Saccharomyces cerevisiae S288C: one gene and its partner. The protein of the gene in region 1 purifies or fractionates together with the protein of each later gene. This does not show direct contact. Each region holds a gene or a part of one and is shown in the gene's direction. Other genes may lie near its edges.

The links.
Region 2: the proteins of RTK1 (region 1) and AIM2 purify together in Saccharomyces cerevisiae (affinity purification with mass spectrometry, with the first as the bait; one large-scale study listed by BioGRID). This does not show direct contact.

The regions. Positions count from the first base shown.
Region 1 is NC_001136.10:404,638-409,304, reverse strand, and holds RTK1 (putative serine/threonine protein kinase RTK1), read left to right. Parts: upstream 1-2,098; coding exon 2,099-3,961; downstream 3,962-4,667. Other genes in the region: putative acid phosphatase DIA3, read left to right, coding at 1-854; MRX9 (Mrx9p), read left to right, coding at 4,348-4,667. UniProt on the Saccharomyces cerevisiae protein: Probable serine/threonine-protein kinase that may be involved in ribosome biogenesis.
Region 2 is NC_001133.9:51,027-54,593, reverse strand, and holds AIM2 (protein AIM2), read left to right. Parts: upstream 1-1,998; coding exon 1,999-2,739; downstream 2,740-3,567. Other genes in the region: ERMES complex Ca(2+)-binding regulatory GTPase GEM1, read left to right, coding at 1-1,793; oleate-activated transcription factor OAF1, read right to left, coding at 2,887-3,567.

The DNA.
Region 1 (4,667 bases):
CCGAGGCTTTGGGCGATGGCTTTAATATATCACTTCAAACACTTAGCGAAAATTCCTCGTCAGGAGCAAACACATTAGCTGCCAAAAGTTCGTGCCCCAATTGGAATTCGAATGCCAACAATGATATATTAATGTCATATTCGAGGGACTACTTAGAAAATATTTCCGATCGTCTTAATGACGAAAATAAAGGGCTGAACTTGAGCAGGAAAGATGCAGCGGCCTTGTTTTCTTGGTGTGCCTTCGAGTTGAACGCAAAAGGTTATAGTAACATTTGTGACATTTTCTCCGCGGCAGAGTTAATACATTATTCTTATGAGACTGATTTGACGAGCTTCTACCAAAATGGTCCCGGATACAAATTGATTAAATCTATAGGTGCTAATTTGTTCAATGCAACAGTGAAGCTAATACGACAAAGTGCGCACTTGGACCAAAAAGTTTGGCTGAGCTTTACGCACGATACTGATATTCTAAATTATTTGACAACTGCTGGATTGATTGATGACACTAGAAATTTAACAACCAATCATGTTCCCTTTCGTGATCATTCCTACCACAGGTCGTGGTACATTCCTCAGGGAGCTAGAGTCTACACAGAAAAGTTTCAATGCTCAAACGATTCGTACGTCCGTTATGTGGTCAACGATGCTGTGGTTCCTATAGAGAGTTGCTCCAGTGGTCCAGGTTTTTCATGTGAAGAGGGCACATTTTACGAGTATGCCAAAGACAGATTACGAGGTGTGAGCTTCTATGAAGATTGCGACGTCTCCAAAGTTAGCAAAGAAAAGGAATTGACGTTTTACTGGGATTGGAACACAACAAGGTATAACGCATCCTTAGTGAATCAATAAGCCATGCATGGGCAGAAATAAAAAAAAATAGGAAATTGTCTTTACATAACATGGTCACAAAGTAATATTCCGCATCGTTCTTCCTTCAGCAAACCGAAGGGGAGCGAATTGAGCCTTCAAGCTACATCTAAAAGAGATTCCACTAACAAGTTCTGCGGTTATTACATATTTTTGTACTACAGAGAATTTAATTGCACCCGCTTTATCACCCTCGTTATTTATATTCTTTTCTGGAATATTTAGATATGCGTCATTTGATTATTGTTGTTTTTTTTTTTTGTTTTTTTACTTTCATTACATCGCTAAATATAATATAAAAGAGATGAACGGCTATTCTTTCTGAATATCGAAAGTTAAAACTCGGATAGAAAATTCACAAGAACATAAAAGAAAACTTCCGGATTTCAAAGGCGGTTCTGGTATTGGGAAACTTCCACAACATATCTCAAATTCAAACTGAAAAGTCCTCAGTGTCTTTTATTCGAAACTCCGGGAAAGCACTGCTTGAATGGATTAAGTAAACTTGAAATAAATTTTTTACTTCTACAGCTAAAATGTGAAATATAGTGTCCGCTTCCACCAAAGGCGTTTATTTTCTCGAAATGAACCTGTGAATAACACAGCTGGCTCCAACTCAAACACTCAACTGCGTCATTTCTTATTCGCTTTCCAAATCATGCATGATTTTTCTTTCTCTTGCCTGCAGTGCTCGTTTCACCGCTCGCGTACTCGTCCATTCTTTGTCAGCGAAGAGGCTCTAACAGTGGAGAGCACATCTGGCAAGTAAAATGATAGGTTGCGCAAGGGGGTAGGGGAATGACTAATAAAGCATTACTACCATCATACCAAGTTCCCATTCATGTACACATAGTCTCTTTAATTGCCTTCTTGAATGGAGGCCAGTAGATATTTGGAGAAGCTTTTCTTGCAGTTCGGGTAATATCGAACGGCGTACATCTATAAGGGGAAAAGCTACTTCCGCTTCTCATATATCTATTTTGCAGTGTGACTCTTCCTGGCTTGCTAAGTATTGTACCTGTTATGGGGCAAGCAAGATTTCTCATTGAAAAAAGATATAATACTTATTTGCAGCCAATAGTGACGGATTCTAGTGTTCTTCTTTTCCATAAGTTGATTACGCTATTCACCCAAACTGACTCTTTAGTGCGCTAATAAGCTGAGAGGATTTGAGAGGGAAAAAAAGAGAGAAGGACAGAAAAGAGCAGCCTGAAATTCATAGCATAATGGTTAAGGAAACTCCATTACACTCATCTTCATCAACTTCGCTGTCTTCATTATTTAGGCCAACTAAGTTGAAGAATTTATCGGCTAAAATATTCAATGGAGGTGGTAACCAATCATACTCAAAGACAGATGATGTTTCAAGGTCTTCTTCTAGATCTTCAAAAAAGAATACAGATTCTGACCAAGAGGATCAAATAAAGTATAACAAACCCAACGACCGAAGATCTACCATAGGAAAGAGCCCCCAGGGAAATGGCGCGTTGTCAAAGGAGTCACACGTAGTAGCAAGTTCTACTTTGACAGGTATTTCTCCTACTTCAGCTAAAAAAGCTCCTATTGACTACTCTCCTTCACGGCCCTTACCTAACAATCATAATCCCGTTCGTACGGGACACACTGTGCCCCACTTACCCCATAGTATTCACAATCCAATAAACTACATTCATCAAGGCTCAAAAGATGCTTTCCACCATCCTCACCCCGTTCGCTCTACAGCTCATAGCAACATTTCTACAGTGTCTTCTGCAAAATCTGATACACCCTCTTCGAATTTATCATACCAGGCACATATGCATCCCGTAGAGATACTACAGAAACAGATTGAAGACAAACACTTCATGGACTCTCAAGCCTCCACCCCTGGGTCCGTGGAACTACAGCATAATTCTTCAAGCGGTAGTGATGATACCTCATCAAGAAAGAAAAAATCCTTGAGATTAACAAGATTTTTCAAAAAAATTCATAATGATTATCACGATAACCATCATCATCACCACCATCACAACCGTGGATCCACCCCTACAAAACCGAAGCTCAATTTGAACACCAATGAAAATATAGTAGAAAGTAACGGAAAAGCGTTATACGAAACAGATAACCCAGTGGAGCTATTAGAAAAATATGGTATTCCTGGTAGAAAATTAGGCGAAGGAGCTTCCGGTTCAGTGTCCGTAGTAGAAAGAACAGACGGCAAGTTATTTGCTTGCAAAATGTTCAGAAAACCACACTTAAACAATGAAGGAACTAATCAGTCTCAATTAGCTAATTATTCTAAGAAGGTTACCACTGAATTTTGTATTGGTTCCACGCTGCACCACGAAAATATCGTTGAAACCCTAGATATGTTGACTGAAGGTGACACCTATTTATTAGTAATGGAGTATGCGCCATATGATTTTTTTAATCTCGTCATGAGTAACCTAATGACACAAGATGAAGTCAACTGTTACTTCAAGCAGCTGTGCCACGGCGTTAATTACCTGCACTCTATGGGCTTAGCTCATAGGGATTTAAAATTGGACAATTGTGTCGTCACTAAAGATGGCATCTTGAAACTGATTGACTTTGGGAGCGCTGTAGTGTTCCAATACCCTTACGAAGATACCATTGTAAAATCACATGGAATCGTGGGTTCTGACCCTTATTTGGCTCCTGAGTTATTGAAACAAACATCCTACGATCCAAGAGTAGCAGATGTGTGGTCTATCGCTATTATATTTTACTGTATGGTCCTTAAAAGATTTCCTTGGAAGGCTCCAAAAAAGAGCTTCAACTCATTTAGGTTATTTACTGAGGAACCTGAGGACGAAGATGATATAGTTCGGGGGCCAAATAAAATATTAAGGCTACTGCCAAGACATTCACGGACAATAATAGGCAGAATGTTGGCTTTAGAACCAAAGCAAAGAGTTTTAATGAATGACGTGGTAAAGGATGATTGGCTTGTATCCGTCCCCTCCTGTGAAGTTGACCCTACATCTGGCGATTTGGTTGAAAAACCAAAGAATCATAAGCATCACTTGGTCACTGAGGAGGAGTTGAATGAGCTGACCAAGCAACACGGGAATAAAGATTCAAATTAATGAAATAAACACTTTTTAAAAGATAAAACCTAAAAAATTGTATATAGAAGATTCAAAGTACTATAAAAGGCATTATATAGGAATAAAAGATGGTGTGCATACAGGTGAAAAAGAAAACTAGTTAAATCTGGAAAAAAAAAACGCTCATATATATACAAAAACATAAATACATTCGTCAAAACAAAAAGCGCTTAAATAAATAAAAGCATTTTTTAGATAATCTCAACGGGCGCCAAATTGAAGTCACCCGACGCATAAAATTGTGAACACGCCCTATTAGATTTTACAAAGAGGAAGTCTCCTCCCCTATAAACTGCAAAGAATAATTGAAAAGTGATTTAGCGCAGATAAATAAGACCACCATAACCACATATGAGTAGGAAAAAATGTTCAAAGTTCCAGTGGGATTAGCCAGTAGGACAAGGGAGCTTATGAACAGCGTTACGCTCAATAGTCTCAATAATGGAAAGGGTTTCAATATGTACTTGCCAGGAATATTAAGGGCTTTTCCTAAACCAGTGCCTTCGGCGATTACATCTCCCGCAATTCCAAAATATCGAGGAGAAAGTTTCCAGTTTCGTAAGCTTTCATGCATTTCTTCTAATTATTGTTCTACCACTCACCAATTTCTATCCAGTCTGAAAAGCTCGACATCCAGGTTGGTTGGTAAAAGAGCCTTCCATTCGTCACGACGTGCAGAAATAAA
Region 2 (3,567 bases), on another chromosome or scaffold:
CGGACCTCATAGCTTTAGACCATGAGTTGAAGTCCGCCGACGTAATTTGGCTTGTGTATTGCGATCACGAATCGTATGACCATGTTTCTCTCTTTTGGTTGCCTCATTTCAGATCCCTGGGGTTGAATATTCCTGTCATTCTCTGCAAAAATAAATGTGATTCCATATCGAATGTTAATGCCAATGCAATGGTCGTGTCAGAGAACAGTGATGATGATATCGATACCAAAGTGGAGGATGAAGAATTTATCCCAATATTAATGGAGTTTAAAGAAATCGACACTTGCATTAAGACAAGTGCCAAGACACAGTTTGATCTTAACCAAGCGTTTTATCTTTGCCAAAGGGCTATAACACACCCAATATCACCTTTATTTGATGCCATGGTAGGTGAACTAAAGCCATTGGCTGTCATGGCTTTAAAAAGAATTTTTCTTTTAAGCGATTTAAACCAGGACTCATATTTAGATGACAACGAAATCTTGGGCTTACAAAAAAAGTGCTTCAATAAGAGTATCGATGTAAACGAACTGAATTTTATTAAAGATTTGCTTTTGGATATTTCCAAGCACGATCAAGAGTACATTAACCGCAAGCTATACGTACCGGGAAAAGGCATCACCAAAGATGGTTTCCTTGTACTGAACAAAATATACGCTGAAAGGGGGAGACACGAAACTACATGGGCTATCCTAAGAACTTTCCATTACACAGATTCCTTGTGTATTAATGACAAAATTCTCCATCCGAGGTTGGTTGTCCCTGACACTTCCAGTGTGGAATTGAGCCCCAAGGGCTACAGATTTCTTGTAGATATTTTTTTGAAGTTTGATATCGACAATGATGGTGGTTTGAATAATCAAGAATTACATCGTCTATTTAAGTGCACACCAGGGCTGCCTAAACTATGGACCTCAACGAATTTCCCCTTCTCCACTGTCGTAAACAACAAGGGTTGCATCACCTTACAAGGCTGGCTAGCACAATGGAGTATGACGACTTTCTTGAACTATAGCACAACTACCGCTTACTTGGTGTATTTTGGCTTTCAGGAAGATGCAAGACTAGCCCTACAAGTAACCAAGCCAAGGAAAATGAGACGCCGTTCCGGGAAACTTTACAGATCCAATATCAATGACAGAAAAGTGTTCAATTGCTTTGTCATTGGAAAGCCATGTTGCGGCAAAAGCTCTTTGCTAGAGGCCTTCTTGGGCAGATCTTTCTCGGAGGAGTATTCTCCGACAATCAAACCAAGAATTGCAGTCAATAGTTTAGAACTCAAAGGTGGGAAACAGTACTATTTGATTTTGCAAGAACTTGGAGAACAGGAATACGCCATACTAGAGAATAAGGATAAGTTAAAAGAATGTGACGTAATCTGTCTAACATACGATTCCAGCGACCCAGAATCATTCTCCTACTTAGTTTCGCTTCTAGACAAATTCACACATTTACAAGATCTACCGTTGGTATTTGTAGCTTCTAAGGCAGATTTGGATAAGCAGCAACAAAGGTGTCAAATCCAACCAGATGAACTGGCAGACGAGCTATTTGTGAACCACCCACTGCACATATCATCCAGATGGCTAAGTTCCCTTAATGAATTGTTTATTAAAATCACAGAAGCTGCTCTTGATCCTGGCAAAAACACTCCGGGATTGCCAGAAGAAACAGCAGCAAAAGATGTCGACTACAGACAAACGGCTCTCATTTTTGGGTCCACTGTTGGATTCGTAGCACTATGTTCCTTTACGTTAATGAAATTATTCAAATCATCAAAATTCTCAAAATAATTAATGCCCAAATTTCTATATTAGGGAAGTGTTGCATTTCTATGATATCTGGCCTAAGGCGGAGCCCTTTTTTTCTTTCCGATAAAAAATGCCAAACCACGCTCATTTGCAAGAAACCTTCAAAGGGTGATAAGGTCTCAAGACTCAGTAGACTTAAAGTTTTCCACTACGTCTAACTACAGCAGAACAAAATTATTTCAATCAAATGGCATCTAATCAACCTGGCAAGTGTTGCTTTGAAGGAGTTTGTCACGATGGAACACCCAAGGGTCGTCGTGAAGAAATCTTCGGTTTAGATACTTATGCAGCAGGCTCTACATCTCCCAAGGAAAAAGTTATAGTTATCTTGACAGATGTGTATGGCAATAAATTCAACAATGTTTTATTAACGGCCGACAAATTTGCTAGTGCTGGGTACATGGTCTTTGTTCCCGATATTTTATTCGGCGATGCTATCTCATCGGACAAACCAATTGATCGTGATGCCTGGTTTCAAAGACATTCTCCTGAAGTCACCAAGAAAATTGTTGATGGATTCATGAAGTTGTTAAAACTTGAATATGACCCAAAGTTTATTGGCGTTGTGGGTTACTGTTTTGGTGCAAAGTTTGCCGTCCAACACATTAGTGGCGACGGGGGTCTTGCCAATGCTGCAGCCATTGCACATCCATCTTTCGTCAGCATCGAGGAAATTGAAGCAATTGATAGCAAGAAACCAATATTGATTTCAGCAGCGGAAGAGGATCACATCTTTCCGGCAAACTTAAGACACTTAACGGAGGAAAAATTAAAGGATAATCACGCTACTTACCAGTTAGACCTCTTCAGTGGTGTGGCTCACGGGTTTGCAGCAAGAGGCGATATATCCATACCTGCCGTAAAATATGCGAAGGAGAAAGTCTTGCTCGACCAAATATACTGGTTCAATCATTTTTCGAATGTTTAAGAGGGAAGAGCTCTTCTTACGTTAACCGTTATATACATATATATATATATTGAGCACTTTATATTATCGGTCAGTTTCATAAATTCGTGGCTATATAATATTAATTAATTGATGAAATGAATAGGTAGGAGTTTGGAAAGAAAATTTTTAAGCAAAGTCATTGCCAAACAAAAAGTCATAATCAAATAAATCCAAACCTCCAAAATAACCTGGAAAAGGAGTATTATTCGCTTGGCCTCTATCGAAACCATTAGGAAGTTGTGATCCAGATGAGTTATCGACAATTGGTGTAGCATTGATTGAATTGTTCAAGTTATTCATCCCGGCTATTGGCGTTTGCTCTTTTGAACCACCACCCGCCAAAGGACCCTGACGTAAACCACTGTTGTAGTCCAAGCTCTGACCAACTGCAGCGGCCGATGATAGTTTTTCTAAATTATCTAAGGATGAACTCCATGTCTTTGTGAAGGTAGGAACAGCATTTCCGAATGGTTCGCCGTTGGTTAAGTCAATTGTGTTTACAGGCGGCTTCAATCCTGAAGAAATTTGAATCTCTTTTTTGATATTACGGTTCAGCTCATCTATATCTTCAACGCTAAAATTCGCAACGTGATTGCATGCCATCAATTCCTCTAATAGCCTATCCTTTTTGTCCAGTTTGACTCCTAAGGTAATGCTTAATGTCTTGATTATCCTAGAATGCATTTGTTCCATTTGAATCATCGTAAATATGCCGTGCCATAATTCACCCTTTCTCATCCTTTGTACAATGACATCGAATAAAGCCAACATCTTAAAAACGGGGAAGTATGTGAATCTTAAATGTTC